Notamacropus eugenii: one gene and its partners. The protein of the gene in region 2 purifies or fractionates together with the protein of the main gene of each other region. This does not show direct contact. Links are inferred from orthologs where the notes say so. Each region holds a gene or a part of one and is shown on either strand. Other genes may lie near its edges. The genes, in order: RFC5, RPA1 and HLTF.

Evidence for each region.
Region 1: the proteins of RPA1 (region 2) and RFC5 purify together in Homo sapiens (affinity purification with mass spectrometry; 3 studies listed by BioGRID and IntAct, with this or other methods). This does not show direct contact. The link is inferred for Notamacropus eugenii from reciprocal best matches to the Homo sapiens genes RPA1 and RFC5.
Region 3: the proteins of RPA1 (region 2) and HLTF purify together in Homo sapiens (affinity purification with mass spectrometry, with the first as the bait; 4 studies listed by BioGRID). This does not show direct contact. The link is inferred for Notamacropus eugenii from reciprocal best matches to the Homo sapiens genes RPA1 and HLTF.

The regions. Positions count from the first base shown.
Region 1 is NC_092875.1:27,514,365-27,524,028, forward strand, and holds the start of RFC5 (replication factor C subunit 5), read right to left. Parts: upstream 4,867-9,664; 5' UTR 4,709-4,866; coding exon 4,641-4,708; intron 1-4,640. UniProt on the Homo sapiens protein: Subunit of the replication factor C (RFC) complex which acts during elongation of primed DNA templates by DNA polymerases delta and epsilon, and is necessary for ATP-dependent loading of proliferating cell nuclear antigen (PCNA) onto primed DNA.
Region 2 is NC_092873.1:39,858,409-39,868,072, reverse strand, and holds the start of RPA1 (replication protein A 70 kDa DNA-binding subunit), read right to left. Parts: upstream 4,841-9,664; 5' UTR 4,658-4,840; coding exon 4,625-4,657; intron 1-4,624. UniProt on the Homo sapiens protein: As part of the heterotrimeric replication protein A complex (RPA/RP-A), binds and stabilizes single-stranded DNA intermediates that form during DNA replication or upon DNA stress.
Region 3 is NC_092877.1:337,868,668-337,878,331, forward strand, and holds the start of HLTF (helicase-like transcription factor), read right to left. Parts: upstream 4,906-9,664; 5' UTR 4,669-4,905; coding exon 4,649-4,668; intron 4,305-4,648; coding exon 4,275-4,304; intron 1-4,274. UniProt on the Homo sapiens protein: Has both helicase and E3 ubiquitin ligase activities. Possesses intrinsic ATP-dependent nucleosome-remodeling activity; This activity may be required for transcriptional activation or repression of specific target promoters.

The DNA of each region.
Region 1 (9,664 bases), on a different chromosome or scaffold from region 2:
TCTAGGTACACAGATCTTTCTTGATGAAGCACAATGACTAATTCCCTCAAACTGAATTCAATATAACAAATATTCATTAAGTTCCTATGTGCAATGCACTGTGCTGGGGCTACCAAGAAAAGAACTCCTCCTCGTCCATATGGAGCTCACAGCTGATGGGCAAGATCACTGTGCTGAAGCATCTGGACTATCACATGGGAGGGAAAAGGTCATGCAGAGTTACGGACATGCCCATAGGAAAAATAAAGTCATGAAAGGCTTCCTGAGAGGTGGTTGGGGGGTGGATGAGCACCTGAGCTGGGCCTCGCAGTAAGCTAAGAACACAGAGGGGAGGAGGGACTGAAGTCTACAAATAGTACTTGGAGAGCCATGTCTGGCAAACTACAAATACGTCAAGTTGGCTGGAATTTTGTGAAGGCAGGCTGGAGCAGACTATGGAGGGCAGGGGTGGGGAACCCTAGGTCCTGAGGACACATGTGGCCCTCTAGGTGCTCAAGTGCGGCCGTTTGGCTGAATCCAAACTTCACAGAACATATCCCTTGATGTAGGAACTTGAATTCCAAGTCAAGTGTTATTACTTTACCCTATAGGCAAGAGCAAGAGAAGACAACAGCCAGATGCATTCTTCAGGAAGATTGTTTTGTCAGCTGTGTGAGGAATGGATCAGAGAAAGGAGACTGAAAACAGAGGCTACAGCCACAGCCCAAGTGGCCATGTGACCCACAGTCTTACTATCACTGACAGATAGGAGATAAATTACTGAAAGGAGGTCACAAGTTGGGATAAAGTATTTGGTGTTAAAGAACTGTATTCTCCTCTCCTCAACTTTTCTCTTGAGCCTAGGATTCCTTTTGAGCCTTTAGTTACAGGGTTATTCCTTCTCTGTGTGGACTGTGAACTCCTGCTTTGGGTCTGGTTTGTTGTTGGAGGAATCAGGATATTTAGCTCAGAGAAGATGGAGTGGGGACACAGCAGCCTGTGTCTAAGTATCTCAAGGACCCTCCTGGGGAAAAGGATCTTTGTGCCCAGCCCCACAGGGCAGAACTGGCAGCAGAGGGGAAAACTGCAAAAAAGGCAGATTGAGGTTTGATTCAAAGACTTTGAAGAATCAGAGCTATCCCAAAGGAGAACGGGTCACCTAAGGAGGAAGCAGATTCTCTTTTATGTTGTTATTTTCCAAGAGCACCAGTGACGTGACAGGTGATGTCTTGGCTCATGGGCAAACTGGATTTCAGTGAGGCAGAGCTGCACAAAGTCCTCACCCTCGCTCTCTTCCAGAGTCATTGAAGTCCAGTGGCAGGCAATTACCCATCCTGCTGGGGAAAGTCTTCACCTGCTTGAGGTAGACACCCCCCTAACTCACCGATGGGTTTGAGGCCTATCAGTTATCCTCAACCTGATGCAGCCCACCTGCTTAGACAGTTTTACCAGGGTGTGGCTCTGTGTATGCTACAGCATCTTGGAGTCACAGGTGAGAGTTGAGATGGATGGACACTCAGAGGGCTAGTCTTCCCTGAATACCCCCATACACCCCATTCCCCTTTTATAGAGGGGAGGGGAAGGAAAGGAGGAATTAAAGAAGAGAATGAGGGAGGATATTAAAGGATTCTGAGATGGAGAGAAGAGGGAGCTCCTTCTTCTAGGGAGTAAATGGCTTCTTTCAGTAAAGTAGGAGGTGTGAGGGTTGAGGGAGGAGGCAATATTAGAGTTCTGAGGACAGAAAAGCTTTGTAAAACCCACTCTGAAGAGTGAGAGAGAGAACTGACTGTGGACTGGGAGTAAAATGATAGTCTAGTTGCAGGAGGGAGGATACCATTGGGATTAGATAACATACATTTACCCAACATGGCTGGATGTGACTCTGTCCTGGTTTGTTCAGCAGGATGCCAGTGGGAAGTCAGGAGGCAGAGAACAGGAAAGATCCAGGGTTACTGTTTGGCAAGATAGGGGCAGCAACAGAGGCAGCTAGGGCTCAGTGGACAGAGTGGTGAGACTGGGGTCAGGAAGACCTACCTGAATTCAAACCTTACCTCAGACACTAGTGGTCTGATCCTGGACAAGTTTTATTGTAAAACGGAGATTACAACAATACCTACTGATCCAGGGTTGTTGTAAGGATTGAATGAGATAATATTTGTAATATACCTGACACACAGCCAAGTGCTTAATAAATCCTCCTTTTCTTCTAACAGGACAAAAGTGCAAGAGATTCAAGAGCAGAGGAAGGCTTGTAACTGAACTGACTAACTAAAGATCAAAATTGGGAAGGGAAGTGGAGCTGGAATGGGGTGACGGCCTGGGAAAGTGCACTGTGGGGGTCATGGGAAATATGAAGAAGAGGCTTAGGGAGATAAGTTATGATTAGAGAATGGAATTTTACAATTTTTATCGTGCATATGCAGCCTTGTATATGTACCATTCCATACCACTCTTCCACCTCTGCAAAGAAGGGAGGGAGAAATATTTTCTCAACTCTTCTCCAAGGTAACACTTAATCATTATAAACTAAAAAGTATTCAGCTTTTTTGGGGGCGGGAGAAGTTCTGTTTATTTTGTGCATTCATTAAGAGCTTGTTAAATGCCAGGAACTAAATCTAGCAGAAGAGACAAAAATGGCAAAGACAGAAGCAGTTCATGCCCCCAAAGAGCTTACCTCAGGGCACAGGAGACAATGTGTACACATAAACTGATACAAAATTACATAAAATAAACACAAGGTAATTTTGGGGATGAAAGGGGGAAGCACTAGAAGTTGTGGGGGATCAAGAAAGACCCTGTCTGTAGCAGGAGAGCCCACCTGGCTGAGTTATGGAGGAGGCTGGGGATTCTGAGGGATGGAGGTGAAGGAATGCACTGTAGGCTTGGGTACAACTAGTTCAAAGGTTGGGGGATGGAAAATCATGTGTGAAGGACATTAATTAGGTCAGTATGACTGGATTGCATAAAGGGGAAAAGCAGTATACCAAGTCTGAAAAGAGAGGCTGTGAAGAGCTTTAAGTGCTAATCTAAGAAGTTGGCATTGGATTTTGGAGGCAAAAGGGCCCCCCTGGAGCCCTACGAGCAAAAGCATGACACTGTGAGATAGAGGCTTTGGGAAGATCACATTGGCATCTGGGGGCAATGTGGGCTGACTGTGAGGAATCTGAAATGGGGTTGAGGGTAGGGAATGAGGAAGCTTCAGCACATGTCTAGGTGAGAGTTGTTGGGGGTGGAAGCAGAGACAGGACATGCAGTGGAGGTAAGGCTGACTAGACTCGGGAGTAGGTGGGACATGCAGTCATTGAACTTTCTTGATTCTGCTTACTTTACTCACAAGAACACCTACATCTTTCCAACCTCCTCTAAATTCTTCCTATTGTTTCTTATTAGTGCCTCTGTCTTTCAGCAGACCCTCCAACACTGACGATGCTATCATCTTGGCCAATCTCTGGGTGTGAGATAGAACCACAACATCTTGATTTACAATTTTACTTTTAGTGGATTTGGAATAACCTAACTCCTTCATTTTATGGAAAAGGAAAATACCCAGTCAGGAGATGGTAGTATCTTTCTATGATGGGTGAGTGCCACTGGATCTGAGTATGTAGGTAAAGGGCAGTAAGGTGAAAGGAGACTAGAAAGGCAGGAAGAGTCTAGGACTGGAGACAGGTAGATCCACTAGCAGGCTATTACAACAGTCCAGATATGAGCTGATGAGGGTCGCCACCAGAGTGACAGCAGGAGATAGAGTGATACAGAAGAGGGCATATTTGAAAGATGCTGGAGGTGAAAATGACCAGAGATGTTACAAAGGTGAAATGGACAGATGCTGCAGTGGTGAAACTACCAGAGATGTTGCAAAAGTGAAATGGACAAGAGATGCTGCAGAGGTGAAACTGACAGGCCATGGTACCAAACTGGATCCGGGGGGTGATAGTGAGGAGACCAGGATGACTCCTAGGTTGTGGGTCTGCAGGACTGGGAGAATGGTAGCACCCTTGAAGGTCACAGGGAAGGTAGCAGGTAATGAGGAGAAAATAAGGAGTTCTGTTTTGGACATACTGAGTTTAAGATATCTGCCAGACAACCAGTTCCAGATGCTTGAGAAGCAGTTGGATATATGAGACTGGAGGTCAGTAGAGCGTTTGGGGCAGGAAAAGCAGATTTGAGAATCATCAGCATAGAAATGATAATTAAATCCAGGGGAGCTGATGAGGTCACCAAGTGAAGTGGTGCGGAAGGAGAACATAAAGAGGGTCCTGGACAGAGGGTGTGATCTGAAGGAAGATCCAGCCAAGTCCGAGGCTGAGAAGGACCAGTCAGATAAGGAGGAGGCCCAGAGAGGGGGGTTCCCTGAAAACCTACAGTGGAGACTGTCAAGGAGGGGGAGGGGCCAAGAGCGTCGAGCCCTAAACCGATGACCCTCCGTCACTTTCACTGTTCTCGGCCCTGACCTCACTCGGTGCTCTCTGGGATCGCCCCCACCTCTAACTCTAAGCCCCTACGTGTCCCTTCCCGGGCCTCGGTTTCCTCAACCGTCCTCTGGAATCGCCCTGGGTTCTGAACCCAGCCCCTTGCCCACCTAGGCGCAGTCCCACGCCCGGGTCTGTCTCCAGGCTGCGGGATCCCTGCCCCGCCCCGCCCCGGACGCGGCCCCCTACCAGGGCAGGTTCCTGCTTTTGGCCGCAGGCTGCTGCTGTGGCTGCTGCCGGACGGCCGGGGCCTCCATGGCGGCGCTGACCCTGAGCGGACCCACAGACCTAAGCGCAGCGGGAAATCGGCTAAAGCGCGGCCTGCATCTCCTTTCCCGCCACAGCTCGCGCGCGCGCGCATGCGCCGCCTCTGCTCTCGCGAGACTTGACCAGGCCACCGAGCCCGCCCGGCCCCTGCTATTTTTCTTCCCAGACACCCCTTCGGGAAGTTCGCCCCGCCCATTTCGGTTGCTAAGGCTGGGAGTGGGTTGCTAGGTAACCGCGAGGCTCGCGTCGTGCGCAGGCGCAGTCAGGCCGGGCCTGTCAGAGGCAGGGGCTGGGGACAGAGCATCTGGTCCTGCTGCGTGGCCAGGTCCGGAGAGGCTCGGGCGGAGAGTCTGTGGTAGGAAGGGAGAGCGAGGTCCGGCAAAGAGGGTGAGGGTGCAGGAAAAGCAGGGAGCAGCAGGGATGCATCAGGGGGACGCCGCATGAAAGGAGTCCACGTGTCTGCCTTCCTTCCTCCCTTCCTCCTTCCCTCCTCCCTTCCTCCTTCCCTCCTCCCTTCCTCCTTCCCTCCTCCCTCCCTCTCTTCCTCCTTCCCTCCTCCCTTCCTCCCTTCCCTCCTCCCTTCCTCCTTCCCTCCTCCCTTCCTCCTTCCCTCCTCCCTCCCTCTCTTCCTCCTTCCCTCCTCCCTTCCTTCCTTCTCTCTCTCTCTCTCTCTCTCTCTCTCTCTCTCTCTCTCTCTCTTTCTCTCCCTCTCTCTCTCTCTCCTCCTCTCTCCCTCCCTCCCTTCCCTCCTCCCTCCCTCCCTTCCCTCCTCCCTCCCTCTCTTCCTCCTTCCCTCCTCCCTCCCTCCCTTCCCTCCTCCCTTCCTTCCTTCCTTCTCTCTCTCTCTCTCTCTCTCTCTCTCTCCCCCTCCCTCCCTTTCTCCCTTCCCTTTTCCCTCTCTCCCTCCCTCCCTTCCCTCCTCCTTCCCTTCCTGAGGATATGGGGATATATGGGGATAATGACAGCACCCACCTCATAGAGTTGTGAGGATCAGAGGAAGTCATATTTACAAATGTACCTAGCACATAGTGGGTGCTTTAAAAATCTTTATTCTTTCATTTATTCATTCCCTCCTTCCATTATTAGTGCTTTTATTCATTAATCATTCACTCATTCATTTATTCCTTCCTTCACTCTTTCATTCATTTATTCATCCAACAAGTCGTAACTGCTCTGTGCCAGGCACTGTGCTAAGTCTTGGAGATATCAAGACAAGAAAGGAAAGAGTTTTGCTTTCAAAGAGCTAGCATTCTATTTTTTTTTTTGAGAGAGGATGCTTGGTTGTTCTATGTTTGCTTCCCCTATATCTAGTAATTAAGTCTTCTTGATTTTTACCTCCCCAATACCTCTTGCATTGTCTCCTTTTTTACTATTTTTATAGCCACCAGTAAGTCAGTCCAATACACAAGCATTTATCAGAGTCTTATAAGAGCCAGGCTCTGTGTTAAGCATTGGAGGTACAAAGAAAGGCAAAAACAGGAACACAGGGCCTTGCCCTCAAGGACCTCACCTTCTAAAGGGAGAGACAATGTACAAAAAATTGCACATACCATATATTTATTAATAACAATTAGTATTTCTATACCACTTTATACACGTTTCATTTTATCCTCAGTAGGTGCTATTATCATCTTCATTTTACAGATGAAGAAACTGAGGCAGACAGAGGTTAAATGACTTGCCCAGGGCCACACGGTTTGTAAATTTCTGAGGAAAGATAGGAACTCAGATCTTCCTGACTCCTCATCCAAGGTTCTATCCACTGTACCACCTAGCTGCCTCATATGTATTATAATTTGGAAGGATTCTATCTGGGGTGGAATCTGGTATTTCTGAGATTCCATCCCAGATGGAAGACTCTAGAAATGAATAGTTTAAGAAAGGTTTCCTGCAGAAAGCAGGATTTAAATTGAGCCTTAAAGGAAACCAGAAGGTGACCTAGGAGGAGGTCACCTCTTGCTTGAACTTTTTCAATGACTACTGTCTCCCTGCTCTACCTTTCCCCCAACTTTGGTCTCCTTGATGGAGTGGAATAATTGCTGGATTTGAAGTCTAAGGACCTGCTTTCTAACTGAAGCTTCTGCTACTTGATATGTGTGTGACCTCTGGTAAGTCACAACTTTCTGGTCCTCAGTTTCCTTATCTGTGTTATAATGCAGTTAGACTAGAGGATGACTAGATAAAGGTCTTTCCAGCTTTAGATTTATGATGTTATAATCAACTTCAATACATCATCCACACAGTTCTCAAATGAATATTCCTGTATCATCAATAAGACCATGTCACCACTATGCCCGAGAGATTCCAATGAATCCTATTCCCTGTAGGTTAGAACTCAAACTCCTTAGCTGCTGCTCATTTTTCCTGGCTGATTTTATATTACCCTTGTTCACATGAGCTTAATTCAGGTCAAGTCAGCTAGCATTTTTTAAAGTCCTACTATGTGTCAGATGCTATGCTAAGTGCTGAGGATATAAAGACAGAGAAACAAATGGATGAATGATTGGATAGATGTTTAGTTAAATAAATAGATAAGTGAATGAACAAACAAATGAGTGGATAGATAAATAAAACCAGTCCCTTCTTTCAAACAGTTCACAGTCTTAATGGGAAGAGCCAATCTGGACATCTTGCTGTTTCCTAAACTTGACTCTCCAGCTCCCATCTCCACAATTTTGCACAACCCATTCCCCATCTTTCAAATGCATGCCCTCCTCACTTCTGCCTCTTAGAATTTTTTACTTTCCTTTGAAGTTCCGCTTAGGTGCCATCTCCTCTATTAAACTTTTTCTGATTACCTTAGTGGTTAAAGTTCTTTTCTCCCTCAAATTATCTTGTATTTTAAAATGATGAGTATTGCATTCTCTAGCAGAATGTAAACTGTTGGAGGGTAGGGGGGTGTTTTGTGGCTTTTCATCCCTAGTGCTTAACACAATGTCTTATGTATAGTAGATACTTAATAAGTGCTTGTTGAGTTTCCTTTCCTGGCAGAGTTACAAGGATGATAACCATCTTTCCATCTACCCTCTACTTGCTATTGCTCTGACTAGAGACCGTGCCTTAAAGGATCTGGGTCATTCTACTCTGAATCTCTTGCTCTGAAGCCTCTGTGAACCAGACTGGTGAGAGTCCACTCTGGCCGGTTCTAGATCTGGCCATTCTTCATTCTGGTCATCTTGCCATTTGACTCACCATAAAACCCATTCCCAGCTGTTGATCTGGGGTCAACATTGCCATTACTTTGAAAAAGGTGCATCAAACATGTCAACCAACTGTCCTATTGTCCAACATACCCATCATGTCTGTGTTTTCCCAAGCCAAAACATCCTTCCTTGGCTACCACTCCCCTATACGTGTTGCCTCCCACTCATAGAATATAAACTCCATGGATAAGAACTCCTTCAATTTTGTATTTGTATTTCCAATCAGTTGATCAGTCAACATTCATTTATTAAATGCTGTAAGAGCAGGCATTCTGTTAGGTTTCAGGGATGTAGCTACAGCACAGTGCCTGGAACGTAGTGAGGGCTAATAAATGTTTCATTTCACTCATTCATACCTCAGTTTCAGCAAAGCACTTGACAAAAATCTTTCACACTATTCATGTGGAAAAGATGTAGCCCAGACAATAGCAAAATAGTATGATTTCAGAACTCATTGAATGTTCAGAATCAGAGTAATCATTTATAATTTGATGTCCTATATGTTCTAAAATATTTGTAACAGCTCTCTTTGTTTTGGTAAAGAACTGGAAACTGAGGGGATGTCCATCAATTGGGGAATGACTAAACAAGCTGTGGCGTATGATTTGATGAAATACTATTATGCCATAAGAAATGATAAACTGATTGATTTTTAGAAAAACATGGAAAGACTTGCATGAAATAATAAAAAGTGAAATGAGAAGAACCATAAGAATATTGTATATATAACTGCAATATTGTTTGAAGAATAATTGTGAACAACCAGATTAGTCTGAGCATTATAAATACTCAAATCAGCTAAAAAGGGCCCATGAAGGAAGATACTATCTACTTCCAGAGAAAGAACTGATAAACAGAAGTATGCATAGTATAATTTTAGATATATTTATAAATCTGTGTTAAATAGTGGCTTTCTCTAGTGTGGGATGGGGAGGGAGGGAGGAAGACAGTTTGGAACTGAAAATGTAACAAATAAATAAAATTTAAAAAATATCTTGGTGTCACCTTGAAGGGAGGTTTCTAATGCAGAGATATCTGCTTAGCTTTGTAGCCTTGTACTAATGTTTGAAATCAAACACTTGAATGAAGGCATCATTTAACAATTTAATGCAGCCCTACTGTGTGTAACACATTGTCCTAGCTTCTGGGAATATAAAGATGAAAACAAAAACATTTGAGACCTCAAGAAGCTGACATTTTTCATCGAAAACCTGCTTATCAAAAGTGCAGATAGATGACATGAAACTGGGGAGGGGCAGAGACACTATATTGAACAATAATATGGAGAATTACAAATTTTGCAAAGTGCTTCCTATATACTATTTAAACCTCACATAACCTTGTTAGGTGTTATTATCTGCAGTTCACAGATGATGGCAAATGAGTCTCAGAGAAGTCAAGAGATTTGCCCAGGGTTACAGAGCTAGTGAATGTTAAGGACAGAATTGGAACCAGAGTCAGGGGCCTGAAATCTCCTGACAGCCTAGAATAGTTGTGTTACGTGGCTCCTTCTATACTCTTCTCTACCTATTTTTAAATGTTTCACAGCTGCCCTTTCTTATCTTTTCTTTTTATTTGCATCATCATCACTGTTGTCCCTCCTCCAAATAAAAACCTTTCCTTGTAACAAATAAATATAATCAAGCAAAGTAAATCCACACATTGGTCCTGGGTGAAAGTGCATGTCTTTCTGTACCTCTAGTCCAGGGGTGGGGAACCTGTGGCTTCAAGACCACATGTGGT
Region 2 (9,664 bases):
CCTGCCCTTAAACAAAATCACTTTGGTGAAGTGGAGTGGAAAGACTTGAAGCAGGGAGACTAACTGGGAAGCTATTACAAGAGTCTCGTTTGTGGAACAGCCAGGAGGCCAGTATCATTAGCTCATAGAGTGGATAGCAGGGAGTAAGATATAAGAAGGCTAGAAAGGTAGGCAGGTGCTTTGAAGGCCAAATGGAACATCTTGTATTTGATTCTGGAATTCATAGGAAGCCACCATAGTTTTTTGAGTAGGAAGGTGACATGATCATACCTATACTTTAGGAAAATCACCATAGTGGGTGAATGGAGGATGGACTGAGGAGAGATTTGACTCCGGCAGACCCACCAGGAGGCCACTGCAGTAAGGTGAGAACTGATGAGAGCCTGCGCAATGGCTGACGGCTAAGTCAGTGAGAAGGAGGTCTATTCAAGAGCTACTGCAAAGATGTGCAAAGGTAAAACCAGCAACAGCCTGAATTGGGGGGAAGGGGGGAAGGAGATAATGGCACATCCAAGATGATTCTTAGGTTGCAATTAAGAGGTAATTGGGATAAAGGCCTCATTTCTAGAATATATAGAGAACTGATCCAAATGTATAATCATACAAGTCATTCCCCAATTGATAAATGGTCAAAGGATATGAACAGGCAATTTTCAGAGGAAGAGGTTAAGGCTATCTATAATCATATGAAAAAATGCTCTAAATCACTATTGGTTAGAGAGATGCAAATCAAAACAACTCTGAGGTACCACATCACACCTATAAGATTGGCAAACATGACAGAACAAGAAAATGATAAATGCTGGAGAGGATGTGGGAAAGTTGGAACACTAATTCATTGCTGGTGGAGCTGCGAGCGCATCCAACCATTCTGGAGAGCAATTTGGAACTATGCCCAAAGGGCTACAAAAATGTGCATACCCTTTGACCCAGCAATATCGCTACTAGGACTGTATCCCCAAGAGATCATAAAAATGGGAAAGGGTCCCACATGTACAAAAATATTTATAGCAGCACTCTATGTAGTTGCCAAAAACTGGAAGTCAAGGGGATGTCCATCAATTGGGGAATGGCTGAATAAATTATGGTATATGAATGTAATGGAGTACTATTGTGCCATAAGAAATGATGAACAAGAAGACTTCAGAGAGGCCTGGAAGGACTTATATGACCTGATGCTGAGTGAAAGGAGCAGAACCAGGAGAACTTTATGCACAGCAACGACCACAGTGTGTGAGAGTTTTTTCTGGTAGACTTAGATTTTTGTAATAACACAAGAACTTCTTACCAAAAAAAAAAAAAAAAATCCCAATGGAGGATCTCAAGGCAAAATGCCTGCCACACTCAGAAAGAGAAATATGGAAGTCACTCACATATTGTAGCAGATCATGTTTGTGTATGTGTATGTGTTTGTGTATCATGTTCTGATTTGTTATACGATTTCTTTCATTTATCTTAGTCTGACTACATAGCATGACTATAGTGAAAATATACTCAATAGGAAAGTATATGTAGAATCTATACAGAATTGTATGCAGTCGTGGGGAGGGAGGGGGGGAGTGGGGGGTAGGTGGGGGGGATAAAATCACAATTGTATGGCAGTGATTGTTAAACATTACAAAATTAAAAAAAAAAATGAGGTAATTGGGGGCCTGGTAGCTGAATGAGCAGAAAAAAATTTGAGAAATGTCATGAAGGTAAAAACAAGGAAATCAAGCAACTCACTGAACACATGTGATAAGTGAGGAGTTGAGAAAAGTTGCAAACCTGAGTGACTAGGCCAGGTGGTGCCTTTGACAGGAGGGTCATGACAGAGTGGACCTAGCAAGAACCTCCTGGGCTTACAATGCATTAAGTTGAGGTATCTGCACAAAACCCAGCAAACAGGGAGCTTCAGGAGTGAGGAGCCACCAGGTTGTCTCAGAAGGAGCAAATCAGCCCAAGTCAGAAATGGAGCAGGTCAAAGCTCTCATGCTGATCAGAATGGGATCAGGCCCATAAGTGGCTCTTGTCCTTCCAGCCTAAACAAGATAGAGCCCTAGTCTTTTTTTTTTTTTTAACTTTTCTTCAAACTTGGAAAAAAAGAAAAGCAAAAACAGACACTGGCATGGATTTGAGGGGGAAAACAAACTCTCTTTGGGACATACAGAATTTTAGATGCCAATTCAATATCCAGCTAAGGTACACCACCAGGCAACTGGTGATATGGAAATGGAGACCAAGAGAAAAACTGGGGCTAGAAATATAAATCTGGGAATCATAGGGCAAAGAGAATTAAACTCTTGCAAGTTGATGAGGTCACAAAAGACATAACCCAATTTGAGGAAATCCAGGAACCAGAGGGACAAAAGTATGATGGAGAACAGGCATTTGAAGATTAACGGGGATAGAAATAGACTACAGTTACATAGAAAGACAGAGCAGACTATAGCTATTTACAGTGATAAACATAAGGAAATCACAAGCCTGGCTCTGAGGCATAATATGGTTATGATGAGGAACTCCAATTATCTTTGCCCAAAACAAAGCAACTAGAAATTACTTAACCTACCTTAATAACTTCTTCCTTCAAAAAAAGCAAAGGAATCAATGAAGAAAACTTGTTTCCGGAATGTAAATGACCATTCTAGCTTAGAATTTGTGATAGACAAGAAGCTAAATGGTCTAGTGTGTCATATCCCCTTGAATTGTGGGAGAGCAAATTTCAAAGCTTTCAGGAAAAGAATAGGATGCCTAGACATAACTCTACAAAGACCCCTTCCAGCTCTTTACCTCTGATCCATGAAAATCACCATGGTTAGTGAAGAGCCAGAAAAAGAAGTGATGGTGAAAAACCACAATGGCTTCCTCAAGAACACGTGCTGCCAACTAATGGTAAGTCCTTTTTTTTTTTTGCCTTCTTTTTCCTAAAACATTTGATGAAGTCTGTTAAGCTCTTCTTGCAGAAGAGATGTGGATGACAGATTCTCTTAAGGTGGGGTGAACTGGAAATAGGTTGAATGAGTGAGCCCAAAGACTAGTCATTAATGGCTCAATGTCAAGTACTCCATGAAGTGTCCCAGAGAACCCTGTGAACGTGCTTATCAATCACAAGAAAAGGCACAGAAGGACATGCTCATCAAATCTACAGATGACATAGAGCTGGGAGGGAATGGATAAACATTCTACTGAATCAAATAAGATGCAATTTAATAGGGATGAATGACGTCTTACCGTTGAGTTTTAAAAGATCAACTTGACAAGTACAAGATGGGGGAAAGAAGCACCAACAGGCACCAGGTCATGTGAAAAAAGTTAAATTGAATTGACTGTAAGCTTGATATGCATCAACAGTGTGGTATGAGCTTTTAAAAAAAGATGACACACCATCTTAGACTGCATCAAGAGAAACACAATACTCAACACAGAACTCTGCCTAGTTCAGACTATATCTGGCTAATAAAGAGTCTTGGAGTCACATTTTAGATAGGATCTTAATGAATTTGAGAGTATTCATCCAGAGGAAAACAACTAGAATAGTGAACTCAGTCAACAAGCATTTATTTTTTTAAATTTATTTATTTTGAGTTTACAACATTCAGCTTTTCAACTTTAAACTTTGTCCCCCTCCCTCAACCTTCCCCAAGACAGCATGCAATCTGATATATGCTCAACAAGCATTTATTAAAGGTTTAATATGTGGCAAGGCGTTATGCTAAGTGCTGAAGATAAAAAAACAAAACAAAAACGGCCCCAGACCAGAAGGAGCTTCCCTTGTAAAGGCGGAGTCAACAGGTAAATAGCTAGGTAGGTAACAAGATAAATACAGAGGAGGGTGGGGGGGAGAGAAGGGATAAGTACCTGCCTCGCACCCACAGCCTGACGAAGGTTATCCGACATTATCTGAGGGGGGGACGCTAAGCAGGTGGGTGGGCCAGAAAGGCCAGCATAAGTGGAAATTTGAGTCTTTAATAAAAGAATCCAGGAAAACTACGAGATGAAAATGGGCAGGCAGGGCATGTCGGGGGCACAAGGGGGGGGCTGCGTTTGAGGAAAGCCAAGTGGGCCCCAGTGTGGGAATGGGAAGGGGGGCCGAGTGGGGAAGTCAAGCCTGAGGCAGGAAAAGTAGGAAGGGGCCGGACTAGAAAGAACTTTAAACGCTAAACAAAGGAGTTTGCTTGATAAAAGGGATTACGCGGGGGTCGGGCTTAGCCTTCCGCGGAAGCCTCCCGAACCCCAAGACCGAGGCCAGGGCGGGGTGCTCGGCCTTAGACACCCCCCGGGGGCATGCCCGGGCTTGGCCCCCGGGGCAGCTCGACGTCTCCTCGGGGGTGCGGGGCTCCCCCTTCCCGGGGGGCTCCCACAAACCACTGGCTGGGAGGCTCTGGGGGGGTCACCAGATTCTGCGCCCCCCCCACACACGGCCCCACACTTCCGAGGGCCCTCCGGACATCCCCGACCCTCGGGGTCTTCACCACATCCGGGGAGCCCCGCTTCCCCACAGCACAGGCCTCCTCTTCTAGAGTCACCCCAGGAGCGCGCGGGATCCCCCCAACGCCGACTCCACCCCCCTCCCGTGGCCTGCGCCTCCTCGGGGTCCCGCCACCGCAGCCGCCGGCTCCGCGCCCCCCTCACCTCCCCTCACCTCAATGGCCCCCTCGCTCAGGCGCCAGCTCATGGCTGTCCGCTGCGTGGCCGCCCGGGATCCGGTAGCTCGCTCCCAAGGTTCCCGGGTGTGTGTTCGAGCGGCGTCCGCCGAGTCAGCGGGAATCCGGGATGGTGGGGGGGGGGGGGGAAGGGGTCCTCTCCCGCGCGCTCAAATCTGATTGGCCCGGCCCCGGCCCTGGCGCGCGCCGCTCTCGCGCTCCGGAAGCGGGCGGTGTAGGGGGCGGGCTCAGAGAGTCGAACGGGCAGCCCATTGGCCGAGGCTCCCCGAGCGCGGGGAGGATGTGAAGCCCCGCCCACCGGCGTCCGGCCGGATTTCTGAGCGTCCGGGGGGCGGGAGCGCAGGCTGGCGTGTGACTCCAGCCGAACGAGCCAGGCCCACGCCGGGGAGCAGCCACGCGCGACTGGGAGGCCAGCCGGGAGGTCTGCGCTGCCCTGCCCGCGACTTGTCCAGGTGAGCCTCTGGCTGTAAAGGGGAAGGGAGGAAGCATTTATTGAGCGCCTACTACATGCCTGCTGGGGGCTGCGCGCTTTACAGCACGATCTCACTGGGTCCTCACAACAACCCCGGGAGGGAGGTGTTGTTAGGATCCCCGCTTTACCGACGGGGAAACTGAGGCAGGCGGCGGTTCAGCGACTTGCCCCGGGTCACCCAGCCAGGAAACGTGAGAGGCCGGACCCCGGGCCCAGAGCCCGCGGTGGGGTGAAGACACCTCTCTGCACTTTTTTCTGTTTTGGGGGAGAATCCATCCCACGGGTGTGATGCGCCCCGACCCGAGGGCCCCTATTAACATCCTTAGCCTCTGGTCCTAGAATTCAGCGGCAGCCTAAGGAAGGGGGGGATCACAAGCGGTCAGTCCGCAAGTATCTGTGAAGTTAAGAGCTACGTGCTGGAAACAGGCAGTAAACGTTTATTAAGCACCTACTGTGTGCCAGGATACAAAGAGAGGCCAAAGAGCAGTCCCTGCACTCAAGGAACTTAAGAGAGCCTGCGAACAACCTTGTTCGAAGGTACTGGATAAATAGAAAATAATTAAAAGAGGGGAGGGGCTGGTCTGGGCTTTTGTTGGGGACTTGAAGGAAGCCAGGGAGATCAGTAGTCACAGCAGAGGAGGGAGAGCATTCCAGGCATGGGGGAGGGCAGAGACAATTCGGGACATGGAGTATCTTGTTTGTGCATCAGCTGGGAGGCCAAGGTCCCCAAATCAAAGAGTATGTATTGGGGAATAAGGTGTAAGAAGACTGGAAAGGTGGGTAAGGACAAGGTAGGAAGGATTCTGAATGCCACAGTGTTTTGTATTTGTTCCTGGACGTCTCAGGAAGCCAGTGAGTAGGGGGGGGTGACATGGCCAGACATGGCCTGTGTTTTAGGAAAATCACTTTGAGGGCCATGTGTGTGTTTGTCCATCAGAGAAATGATGACATGACTTGCACTTGACTTTGTTTTGAGTGAGGGAGGGCTGTGCAGGTCACCAGCCTCACTTCTCCTCCAGAGCCATCTGAATCCAGTGACCAGATATTCATCAGGATGACTGGAGATGACCCAGGATGAGGCCACTGGGGTTAAGTGACTTGCCCAAGGTCACACAGCTAATGAGTGTCAAGTGTCTGAGGTGACATTTGAACTCAGGCCTTCCTGATTTCTGCACTGGTGTTCTATCCACTGTACCACCTAGCTGCCCTAAGGAAGATCACTTTAGTGTCTGAATGGAGGGTGGATGGAGTAGGGAGAAACTTGAGGCAGGGAAACCCAGGAGCAGTGACAGAAAGTCCCTGGCCTCGGGAGCTTACATTTTATGGCGTGTGCAATTATTGCTTATATAAGTACATGCAAAGTAAAGCAAAATTGTTTGGAGAGAGATGTCATCTAGGTGGAGGCCCTTTGGCTGAACCTTGAAGGAATCTAGGGATCAGAAGAGGTAGAGATGAGGGAATGATGGCAGGTATGGGGGGGACAACCTGTGAAAGGTGGCAGAATTAGGGAAGGGTAGTCCTCTGAAAAGAGATGCCAGAGCCACATTCCTTTGAGGGTAGAGTGATTGTGGTCTTAGGGATTTCAGCCATCCTTGGGCCCAACATCAGCAGTTTAGGAGAAGAGCTAATATTAGAACCAAGCAATTGGAAGAAAGCAAAGATTTACATTAGGGATTTTTCAGTTGTTCAAGGATTACGCTTTCATTGATGTGGTTTTTCTCCTCCACTTCTGGAGATTGCAGCCCCTTAGTGACTTAACTGAGTAGATAAGTCTGTGAGAATTGCTACAGCTGAAAAATTCAACATGCCTTTGCCATCCTGGTGATGAACCTCTCGAAACATAACTCACTGAGCCTCAATTTGGGAGCTCCAAAGGGCCCCAATGACCACCTAGTTGGACCTATTACATGAAAGGAGTCCCCTCATCAACCAGGGAGCTTCCCCTTTGGTGGGTCCTGGCCTCCTTGGGCAGCAGTCTATCTGGTGAGGCCTATGGAGCCCTTCTAAGAATTCTGGCTTTAAATGTATAAGATCAAGCACATGGGATTACAAAGAAAACCACTTGCACTGAAGTGCAGCTATCCAAAAATTTTTAAAATGTATTCACAGACGCTGAGTTAAGAAGCTTGACTCTACAGCTTACCTGATGGGCGGCAATACAGCCTTTGATTGAAGTCATCCTTTGAGAGGGAACCTGAAGGCAGCCCAGTCTCTGGGCTCTGACTGCTGGGAAATTTTTCCATACTCTGAGCCCAAGTTAGCCTTTTGCTATCTATGTCTACCCCTTGTACCTGGTTCCCCCAAGGCTCACCCTCAACACAAAGTCCTTCCCAGTCCCCAGTAATGCTAGTGCTTGCCCTCTGTTGATTGTCTCCAATTTATCCCATCTATATCTTGTTTGTACAGTTATTTACATTAGATTGTGAATCTCCACAGGGCAGGGACTGGCTTTTTTTTGCCTACCTTTGTATCCCTAACACTTAGCATAGTGCCTGGCCAATAGCACGCACTTAATACAGCTAGGTTCTGATTCATGTGAATAATGAATCTTGTGAAACAGTCGTATGTATTCACATTGACCCTGTTTGGAGTAAGGATTGTGTTAGCTATGGTCATTGTTCCCACCCAGTAGAAATGTGCAGTACAGATGTGAATAATGGGACCACTTCACCAGGTTCCCTATCCAGATTAATCTGGACCAACTTGAGTATATTAGTTGGCTGAATAAAACACTCCCTTCTCACCATGACCTTAAAATCCAATGGAGAGACAAGTACATCTAAAGAGATATATGGTACAAATAAAAATAAATAAATATATGTGTGTAAAAATTAAATACAAGGTAGTTTAGGAGAGAGGGTACTAGCATTTCAGGGAACCAAAACACTTCAAATAGGAAGCAGTGCCTGAGCTCTGTCTTAAAGGAGGATACGGCTTGTAGGAGGCAGAGATAAGGAGGGAACATTCAGGGTTGGGGTGATTTTTTTTTTTTCCTGGGAGCTTCACCCTCCATGAACAGTTTCCCCAGAGACTAGGCCATACAAGAATCAAAGGAACTGGGGCTGCTCAGCCTGGAATAGAGAGCACTCCAGAGGGATGTGCTGGCTGCCTTCAAACATCTGTTAAGGGCAGTCATGTGGAAGACTAGAATGGGGATGCTTGTCCCTAGAAGGCAGAATTAAGCAGTATAAGTTGCAGAGATACAGATTTAGAGTTAATAAAAGGAAAAACAGCTAAGTTGGTGCAGTGGCTAGAGCACTGGGCCTGAAATCACAAAGACCTAAGCTCAAATCAGGCCTCAAACACTGTCTGTGTGACCCTGGGCAAGTCACTTCCCCTTATTTGCCTCAGTTTCCTCATCTGTAAAATGAGCTGGAGAAGGAAATGATAAACCAAGAAAACCCCAAATGGAGTCACGAAGAGTCAGACACGACAGAACAGGCAACGAGAGCTAGGCCAAAGTGGGGTTGGATGCCCACTGGCTATCCTGAGTAGGGGAGTCCGGCTCAGTGGCATTCGGCCCTTTTCCATTCTGAGATTTTGTGATTCTGTGGACTGCAGGGGCAGGTTGTGACATGTTATTCCCCTCCTCAAGCTCTTCATTTCTGCCAAACTCTATTTGTGATTGCCTTTGACCTGACATCCTTTCACTGTCCTCCTTGCCATACTTGTTAGAATGCCCAGTTTCCTTCCTGCTAACTCCCCCAGCTGCTAGTACCCCCTCCTGCCTCTAAGCACTTTATGTGCTCTTCTTTATGAAGCTGCCTGTACTTTGTAATCCCCTCTCCTTAAAGACTTTAAGCTCTCTGAGGGCAGATTGTTTTGCTTTTGTCTTTGGATCCCCAGTCAATAAGCATTCATTAAGCACCTACTATGTGCCACGTAGTAGGTACTTGCTGAATGAATGATGAGCTGTTGGACTAGCCAAGCAGCAGCCAGAAACCTCAGCAGTTGTACCAGTTAGCTGTGCTCTAGGAATTCATTCCCTCTTCTATCTTCCTTGGAAAGAGGGGGATGTAAGTGACAGAAGGGCAGGAAGCCTGCCCTGAGGCACCCACTGTGGTGTCCCGTCACAGTGTGGTTGCAGCTAAGGCTTCTCAGACATTGAGTGTGACTGGGCCAGCAGCCAGCAGAGGACCAGCCCCATTCAGGTCAGAGAGGCTTGTCACCAAGTGAGCTGCTGAGTGATTTGTGCTCCCCTACAACAACTCAGAATGGTGTTGTCCTGATAATGACTGACAGTGTGGTGCTTTGAAGGGGCAGGACCCCACTACCTCACAACAGCCTGATGAAGCAGAATATTACAGGGAGGGTTATGCCCATTTTCCAGATGAGGAAACTGAGGCTCCAGGACTTAAAGCGATTTCTCCACAGCCACATTCTTAGTCAACAGAGGCAAGACTGGAACAATGGACTTCCTGAACCTGGATTCAGCCACTTTCTCTTTTGCAAGGCTGCCTTACAGCTACAGAGGGATAGGGAAGCTGCATACCAAAGTCCTGTATCCTTGGGGTATTAAAGAAAGGTATCAGTGAGTCAGATGGTT
Region 3 (9,664 bases), on a different chromosome or scaffold from region 2:
CAAACAAACCAAATTTGGCATCAAAGGAACTGGGATCAATAAGGTCCTTTCCTGCTCCAAGGTTTCTCCCTCTTTCCCCTTTTAAGTGACATGGTCCATCTAGGACCTCTCATTGTCCCTTGACTGAACTACTTTTAGGAACCATTAGTTCAGAAAATTTAGTATCTCTTCTTCCTGGAATTAAGTAAAGTATTTATAGATTTTATATATCCTGCAATTTTAATGTAACGTATTCTGAATACCTAAAACAGGTTCCAATTATTTTCTTCTAAACACTCAGGTAAAATCCAATTTTAAGGAATATAACTTTAATAGTGTACTGTTTTATAAAGTACTATTTCTATATCCTTGTGAACAGATTTTTGAGAATTTTGCCCATTTGGTTTCAGTGAATCTTTTTTATATACCACCCTCTTCTGGCTCACATCAAGTACGTACACACCAAATATTCCAATCAACAATCCCTTAAAAGTCACCATCTCTAAACTTGGTCCAAAATAACTGGACCAATGGCTCCTCCCACCCAAGTCCAATACCTCTTGACCTTCATTTTAGGGTCCCATGGTATAGTTCCTCTCGTTTCCCCTATTCCTGAAACATGACCTACCCAAATTCTTTCCCCATGACCACAGATTATCTTTATAATACATCTGTCACCCCAACTATGAAATGTAAAGTCCTGCAGAATAAATGACTTCACATGTTCCTTTCCATGTGGCTGACAACCTATTTACAAAAAACTTTCTTTTAATTCAAAATATATGCTTTATATTGTAACTTTACCTGTATGTCAAAATCTTAATGAGGGGATTAAAAATAATGCCATTATAAAATAGCTTACCTCTACTATATGAGAGTATGATTATTTCAATAGGTAACAGCAATTTTAGAAATATCAAATTGATGTTCACATGGCACGAAATTTTATCAAATAGCCATTCTCCTCTCCAAAAGTGATTTACAATTAAGAGTCATTTCCTAAGCGTTTTACTGTATTTACGTAGCATATGCTTGCTACCAGTCTTCCCTCCAAACATATCAATCAGTACATTTAAATATATAAATCAGAAAACATAAACATCATTAATGACTAAGTCATGAAAGAGTACTTAACCTGGATCTGTTAATTTGAAAACTTTGCTAACTGTATTTCAATGTAATTGTTTTCATTTGTAATCCCATGTATTTAAAAAGTACTTAAGTACTTAATTACAAGTACTTAACCTGGATCTGTTAATTTGAAAACTTTGCTAACTGTATTTCAATGTAATTGTTTTCATTGTAATCCCATGTATTTAAAAACATTATTTTGAAAAGGGGTCAAAAGGCTTTATCAAACTAACAATTAGGTCCACAGAAAAGTTCAAGCACACCTGCAATGGATTTGTGCTAAGATTCTAGCAAACTCTTGCCATTAAAAAAATTGCTGTTTATATTCTACACACACACACACACACACACACACACACAAACCGCCCCCCCTCCCCCCAATTCCTTATACAATGCTGGTGCTGGATTTGGATTTTGAGGATACAGTTTTTGGTCAACGATTCAAGACTAACCAGTTCTGTTTAATGATTCAGTAGAAGTTAAACAAACCTACAGACTGAATTCTAATAATAGTTAAAATTTATATAGTACCTACTCTGCACCACGCTAAGCCCCTTAAAATCATCTCATTTGATCCTTACAACAACCATCCTGGGAGGTAGGTACTACTATTATCCCCATTTTACAGATGAGGAAATGGAAGCAAACAGGGGTTAAATGACTTGCCCAGGGTCACGCAGGACGGTAAATGTCTGAGACTGAATTTGAACTCAGGTCTTCCTGACTCCAGGTCTAGGTGTCTATCCACTCTGTCACTTATGCCTCATAATGCTACAGTACTATAATAAATCAGGATTTCACTTAAAAACATTTAAATCACAATAGTTTATCATGTATTCTCTTAATCAACAGATACTAAAAATGAAAGAATAATGTGGAGGTTCTTTCAGTTTTTTGCACATAGAACCACTTATCCAAACTATTCTTCAAAATCTGTCTGGAAACACCAATCTTTGTAAAACTTACTTTAATATGTTATGCTATTTCAAAAATCAGTACAAAAACTATGCAAAATTTCCACTGACGGATATGGAAGCAGCAAAATCCTAATATTTTTTCTTTAGCTCTCTTTCCACCTTCCTTTCAGTGCTTCAATTGCTACTCTGTGCCAATGGCTTCCAACCTCTCCCCAGATCCTGTTCCACATTTCCCACTCCTGCCTGACACCTGCATTTGGACGGATGCAACGCCAGCATTTCTACCTTACTCTGGCCAAATTAGTCTAGTAACTTTCCTCTCTCCTAGCAGCTCAGAATTCCTCAATTCCTCCATGATAATGGCATCATCACTATTTGGTCAGGCTGCTCAGTCACCTTTTGCCTCTCTCTGCTTCAACTCACATATATCCAGGCAACAAGTTTTTACAATAAATCAATAAAATGCATCCCCTCTTTTCCATTTCCACTGTGACCATTCTAGTTCAAGTTCCCAGCACCTTTCACAGTCTCTTCTCTCTACAATCCACCCAGACTCAAAGCAAAATTTATCTTCCTAAAGTACAAGTCTGTTTTATCATACATACTGTACTCAGAAAATAATAGTTAAAAGCACTTTCTATAGTGCTTTCAGGTTTGCTAAGTGGTTTGTGTACATTATTTCAAAAACTTTCAATAGCTTCTCCTTTTTACTGAATGAAGTTCAAATTCCTTAGTCTAGCATTCATACTCCTCCTCTTTCCTATAAAATAAAGTCCAGATTCCCTATTCCTGCCCAGTAGGGACTCCACCAACTCTTTCAAACTTCTCTCTCACAATTCCCTACATCCTAGAACATCTCTCCCAGCTTTCAAAGCCCAACTCAAGTGCCACCTCTTTCTGTCTCTGCCTGGCAGAGTAGGCACCAAATGTTTCTTGACTGACAACCCCTCCCACCCCACCATGAAGACACCTAGATCCAAGCCCCAGGAAAAGATCTCTTGTTAGTCCCAGAGCACCTTGCTAGAACCTTCCCTAAGGCCTCCATTCCAGGCCGAAAAGCCAATAGTGTTTGTACAGTGAATCTGCATTTTAAATGTGTTTATCTCCACTGCTAAAGGGTTCATTAGTTCCAGGGGGGCCACAATCTTGTTATACATTTATGTGTACGTACCCATAGTGTGTAAACATATATATATGTACACACACTATATACTGTACACCCACCATATGCTATATATACATGCTATGTACTATTTATACACACACCATATACTATTTATACACACACTACATACTATACATACACACACTATATACTACATACACCACATAGTACATATACATGCCAGGTACTATTTATACACACACTACCTACTATACATACACACACCGTACTACATATGTATATACACACACTATGTACACACTACCCACTATACACACTACCTACTACACATACACACACCGTACTACATACGTATATACACACACTACATACTATACATACACCACATACCACATATACATGCCATGTACTATTTATACACACACTACCTACTACACATACACACACCGTACTACATACGTATATACACACATTCTAGACTACATACACACTACCCACTATACACACTACATACTACACATACACACACCGTACTACATACGTATATACACACACTACATACTATACATACACCACATACCACATATACATGCCATGTACTATTTATACACACACTACCTACTACACATACACACACCGTACTACATACGTATATACACACATTCTAGACTACATACACACTACCCACTATACACACACACCATACCACACATGTATGTACACACTACACACACGCTACATGTTACATACGTATACATATACAGTACACAAGCACCATGAAGGGTCCGAGGACGGGTAAGATTCAGACTCCTCACCAGAACCCCAAATTGCCTCTCCAACATACAAACGCCCCCTCCCCCCCACTTCACGCTTCAGGGCACCCCAAGTGCCCGAACACTGTGGGGCAGCTCGGGCACGCAGACGGGGAGCCCCCGCCCGGGGAAAACTTGAGAGTCTACGTCCGAGGAAAACCACCGGCCCCGCATCCCGAGCGGCGTTTCCTTTCCGAACCATCCAGACAAAAGCCCGGGGCCCCGCAGCGGCGCGCGGGGTCGGGCCCCCGGGAGCTCCGCGCGTGGGCTCCGGGGCCGCAAGTTTAAAACGCAGTAAGGGGAACTCACACTTTAAAGAACACCTGGGGCGCGTCCGTCCTAAAGGGAGGTAAACAGAGCGCTCCGGTCAAGCTCGCCGCACCGCACGGTCTCTTTCCAGGTCGGGGCTGTGCGTGTTTGGGGGTTTTCGGACCCCTTTAAGCGGGACTCCCGCAGCGGGACAGGTGAGGGGCGGCGATGCCCGGTGCCCTCCTCCTCCCTCGCCCCTTCCCCTCCCCCAGCGGCCCGGGCCAAGGTCTCGGACACGGGGACCCCTCGCTGAGGGTCGGGGCGGGGATGGGGCCCCTCCCACCCGGCGCGCGCACGGCGGGGACTTCCCGGAGGGGGCCGATTTGGGGATCGGGGGACAACCGTTACCCGCCCCCCCCCCACAGCCCGTTCACCTCCTGAACATCCAGGACATGGCGCTGGGCACGAAGGCGGGGTCCGGGACCCCGCCGCTCTCAGGCCCCCCGGGCCCGCCTCGCCTCGCCGCCTCCGCCGCTCGGGTCCGGGCCGCGCCGCTGGGGAAAAGCGAGGAGAAAGCAGCGAGCGCGCCGCGAGAGGGATGCGAAGCCGAAGCTCTGGCCGCCTCTGCGCTCCGCACCTCCCCTCACCCCACCTCTGCCTCAGCTCCTGCCTCGGCGGCGGCGGCGACGTCGCGTCCCTTCCTCCGCCCGTCGTCGTCGAACGACGCCGCCGTCTCCTTCCCGCAACAAACCCAGCCCCGCGATCTGAGGAGACGGACAGCGGCACGCCCCAATCGAGGGCAGGCTCGCCCCGGCCTCGACCAATCAGCGCGCGGAAGAGGAGGGCGGCGCCCGCCCCCGCGCTGGAATTCAAAGCGATGAGTGGGCCGGGCCCCGCGCGGCTGGTTTCATCCGGGCTTTTCCCCGCCCCCTGGGTTGGCGCGCGGCGCAGTCCCTCCCGCCCGGGGGCCGGCGGGGAGGGCCGAGCCGGGGGAGGGCTCCTCGCTCCCCGCCCCGCACCTGGGCTCAGCTGCCTTCCCAGCAGGGAACCTCCCGCCCCCGTCGGCTTCCCGCAGTCTGAGCTCTCGCGAAACCCCGGGGTCGCCTGGGGACCGCTGCCCCCCGCACGCTCCTGCCCCGTGGCCCGGGACCCCGAGGTTTCCGGGGCTGCGCCTTCGGGAGTAGCCCTGGAAACTAGGTCTCCTTCTGCCCCTCTTGGACACTTAATCAGAACTTGGACGGGCCGGTTCGTTCTTTGACCTTGTGATTTGTTTCTAAAAAAGAATTCTTTAGGGAAAAAATAAACTGAAAAACACAAAGTTGCCAAGAGCGTGCATTGCCGGAGGCACGACCGTGCCCCCGGGGGCATTTTTCTCCAGCCGCGCACTTGCGGGAGGGGGTTCCCACGCCCGGCTGGCACCTGCCTCAGTGCCCCGGGGCATCCCTGCACAGCAGGGAACCTGGGCGCTCTGGGTAACAATCACCCCGGAACCGCCTTGGAACGCGGTGCTCGGTCTTCACAGCCCGCTCTCGACGCGGCTCCTGAATCCGCTTGGAGGGGCTTCCCCGTTTTATTTTGGGGTGAAGACAGCCCAAGAAGTAAAGCTTGGGACTGAAGCCAGATGTAACTCCTCTGGGACCAGATGAACACCGGGTTCAGAAGCCAGTTTTACAAGAAACACTACGGGCAACCGTGCCTTGAGTTTCCCTATGACCCTAAGGCTCCCCCCAGTCTGTTTGTAATTTTTTTAATTAATTTATTTAACTTTTAACATTCATTTTCACAAAATTTTGGGTCCCAAAGGCTCTCCCCATTTCTCCCCTCCCCCCCAGTCTGTTTGTAATCTGTCTGCCTTTTGACCATGTTTTGGAAGTCCGTTTGACCAAGCTCTGGAGATAAAGTGTTTGATGGGCACAGAGATGGTTTCGATCCAGACTCTGAATGGGGTCCGATTGAACTGACGGCCCGCGGCACGAGCTCAGAGGATCCAGACTTTATCGTGTCAGTTTCCCTAGCCAGATGTCGTCATCAGGGCTCTCCAGCAAGTGAGCCCGGGCTAAGTGCCTTTGTGTGGCATGTGGTAGGAAAAGCAGATTATTCTCCCCTCAAACCAGGCATCATCAATGTTTCCCTCTCCTGATTTAACGCTATTCTTCTTAAAATTCACCTGTACCAAGGTACTCCTTCATATGTGTGTATATGTGAGTGTGTACATATACATATATGTGCGTGTATGTGTATATATACATACATGTGTATATATACATACATATGTGTATATATATATATATGAGTGGATCAAGAAATGAAGAGAATCTTCATTTTTCACCAACATTATTTACCTATACAGAATGGACAGATACCTATCTCTCATCCATGTAACTGTTAAGATATAGTCCTCAAGTTCTCAATATACATGTCTGTATATATACATATACATATGTCATACACATATACATATTGTAACATTTCCCATATTCTCCAAATGTTATATATGTATTACAGTATATAGGTATGTATGTACACATATATATGTATGTATATGTGTCAATTATATGATTTAATTTATCATAATTTTATTTGATTGAATATATAATTTATATACTTATATAATGATGTCATGTCACATACTTATATATACATATATAAGTATATAATATGTAATTTATTAATATAAATTTTATGTGATATGCAATATGTTAATATTTAACATACACATATAAATTATAACTATGTAAACTGTACAGTGAATTTGTATACATATAAATTAATTTTCACAGAGGAGTCACCCTCGTATCACTAAAAGAATGTTGGCATATTATCATCATAATCAGTAACTGTGTCTGAAGTCTAAGGCAGGAATTTGGAATTGCTATTTTTGCCCTAAGCCTGGTTACCATTTTCCAGAGTCCCCTTTCCCATTCCCAGATTGCCTTCTATTTGGGTGGATTCCCATAGAATTTCCTTATCAATGGAAATCATTTACACATTTTGTATTTCCAGATTTGTTCCAAAAACCCTGCTCCCAAAAAAAATCCCTTGGAGGCCCCAGGATGAGACTCAGTAACCTTTCACAACTCTACCATAGGACCAAGACCATGCTTCTTTCTCAAAAATTGTTAGTTTTTGTTTGATTCCATTACCCAACACCCACCCTCATTCTAACGCCCTGGCAGGAGTTCCCATGAAACAGATCTGAAACTGCTCTGAAACACCTACTTCCAATTTTCTCCAGTTCCTGATTATCCTTATATTGGAGTAAAAATTTTCCTTTCAAAAATAAGAATAACAATCATTACATACAGAATCCTGGAATCATACATAATAAAATGATAAATATTTATTAATTGATTAAAATTGATAGGGTCATATCAGATGTCATCTAGTCTAGCATTTCAAACTGTGGGTCGTGATCCCTTATGAGAGCATGAAAAATCTAGCAACAGTAAAAGATTTCTGAAAGTGCACCAACCAAAAATTAATTTAAAATCAAACATGCAATGGATCCAAGGTGTTTCCTGGTAGCACTTATATCTGCAGCTTCACTGCAGCCTTGGTTTTGAATACACACACACACACACACACACACACACACACACACACACACACACACACACAGAGCATGTGCACTTTGCACTTTGAGTGCCCTTAGACCACGAACGCCATCGAATGCTGGTGAAACACAAGATGGGGTCAGAAGTGGAAAAAGTCTAGGAAGCCCTGCCTAGTCTAACCTGTGCATGAATGAGAATACTCTCTACAATATAATATCTGCTAGTCTTTGTGTGAACAGTGTAGACTCTTAGGTTTTCAAAGCACTTTACAAACATTATCTCACTTGACCCTCATGACAACCCTGTGAGGTAAGTGCTGCTATTATTCTCATTTTACAGATGAGGAAACTAAGGCAAACAGAGGCTAAATGACTTAGCCAGAGTCATACAAGTAGTAAGTGTCTGAGGCTGGACATTAACTCATCTCCCACACTTCAGGTCCAGGCTTCTATCTACTGCACCACCCAACTGCCCCAACGTGCCCAAGAAGTGGTCATCCAGCCTTTGCTTGAAGACTTCTGGGTTGGGGTGATGGGGAGAGTGACACCCACAATTCAGGATACTTTTAAATAGTTCTCACTATTAGGGAAGGTTTTAAGGCTGTTTTTTGCCTCTGTAGCTTCAACCAATGACATAGAGCTCTACCCACTGGGGTCATGAAGAAAAAGGTCTTAATTCCTCTAACACATGAAAATCCTCACAGAGTTTTTTAAAATGATCATTTCTGCTCCAACTCTTCTCTTCAATAAGGCTAAACACCCCTACATCTTTCTATGTATGGTGATGATGGTGATGAGGATGATAGCTAACATTTACAGAATCCTTAATATGTGCCAAGCACTGTTACCTCATTTGGTCCAAACAGCAGCCCTGTGAAGTAGGTGGTATTATTATCCCTATTTTACAGATGAGGAAACTGAAACAAACAGAGGTTAAATGATTTGCTGAGGATCACACAGCTAGGAAGCATCTAAGGTGACATTTGAACTTAGGTCTTCCTGATTCCAGGTTTATAACTGGTTTCCTTTGTAATCCTATGAATTTATCTTGCCCATTTAAAAAAACATGATTCTGAGAAGGGGTCTTTATGTTCCATGTATTTTGCTTGACTGCCAAAGGGATCCTGGACACATAAAAAGCATTAAGAACCTGTGCTTTAGATGGTCTCCAGCTTCTCAAAGTTCTTTCTAAAATGTGGCATCCAGAAATGAACACAATATTCCAGCTGAATTCTGATCAGGACAGAATGCAGCAGGGCTTTCCCTTCCTTACTTCTGGACCCTATGCCTATCCATGAAGTCTAAGGTCTATTTACCACATGGCACTATTTCACTATTTGGGCAGGTAGGTGGCACCATGAATAAAGCACCAGACCTGGAGTCAGAAAGACCTGAGTTCAAATCTTACCTCAGACATTTACTACCTGGGTTCCCCTGGGCAAGTCACTTAATCCAGTTTACCTCAGTTTCCTCATCTGCAAAATGAGCTAGAGAAGGAAATGGTGAAACACTCCAGTATCTTTGCCAAGAAAACCCCAAATGGAGTCAGAGAGAGTCAGACAACTGAAGAAAGACTGAACCACAAAAAAAAAAAATCTATGTTACTAATTCATATTGAACTTAAGTTTCACTTTTTCAGATAAACAGTTGTCTATTCTGCCCCACTCCCTCCCCCAGCATCACCTTGTACTTGGGAAAATGTTTTGTTTTTGATGTAAGGATAAGGCTTTACAATTTGATTAGTGTACAGGAGGCTCCGATAGACTCCTCATTTTATATTTAGAGACACTGCATGGCGTTGTTTGTTTCAGAACTTTGTAACTCACCCTGTGAAAACATTCTTTTCCTCCCATTTTCCACATTGTCATTATTTCTCCTTTTATTGTTGTTACTGCTA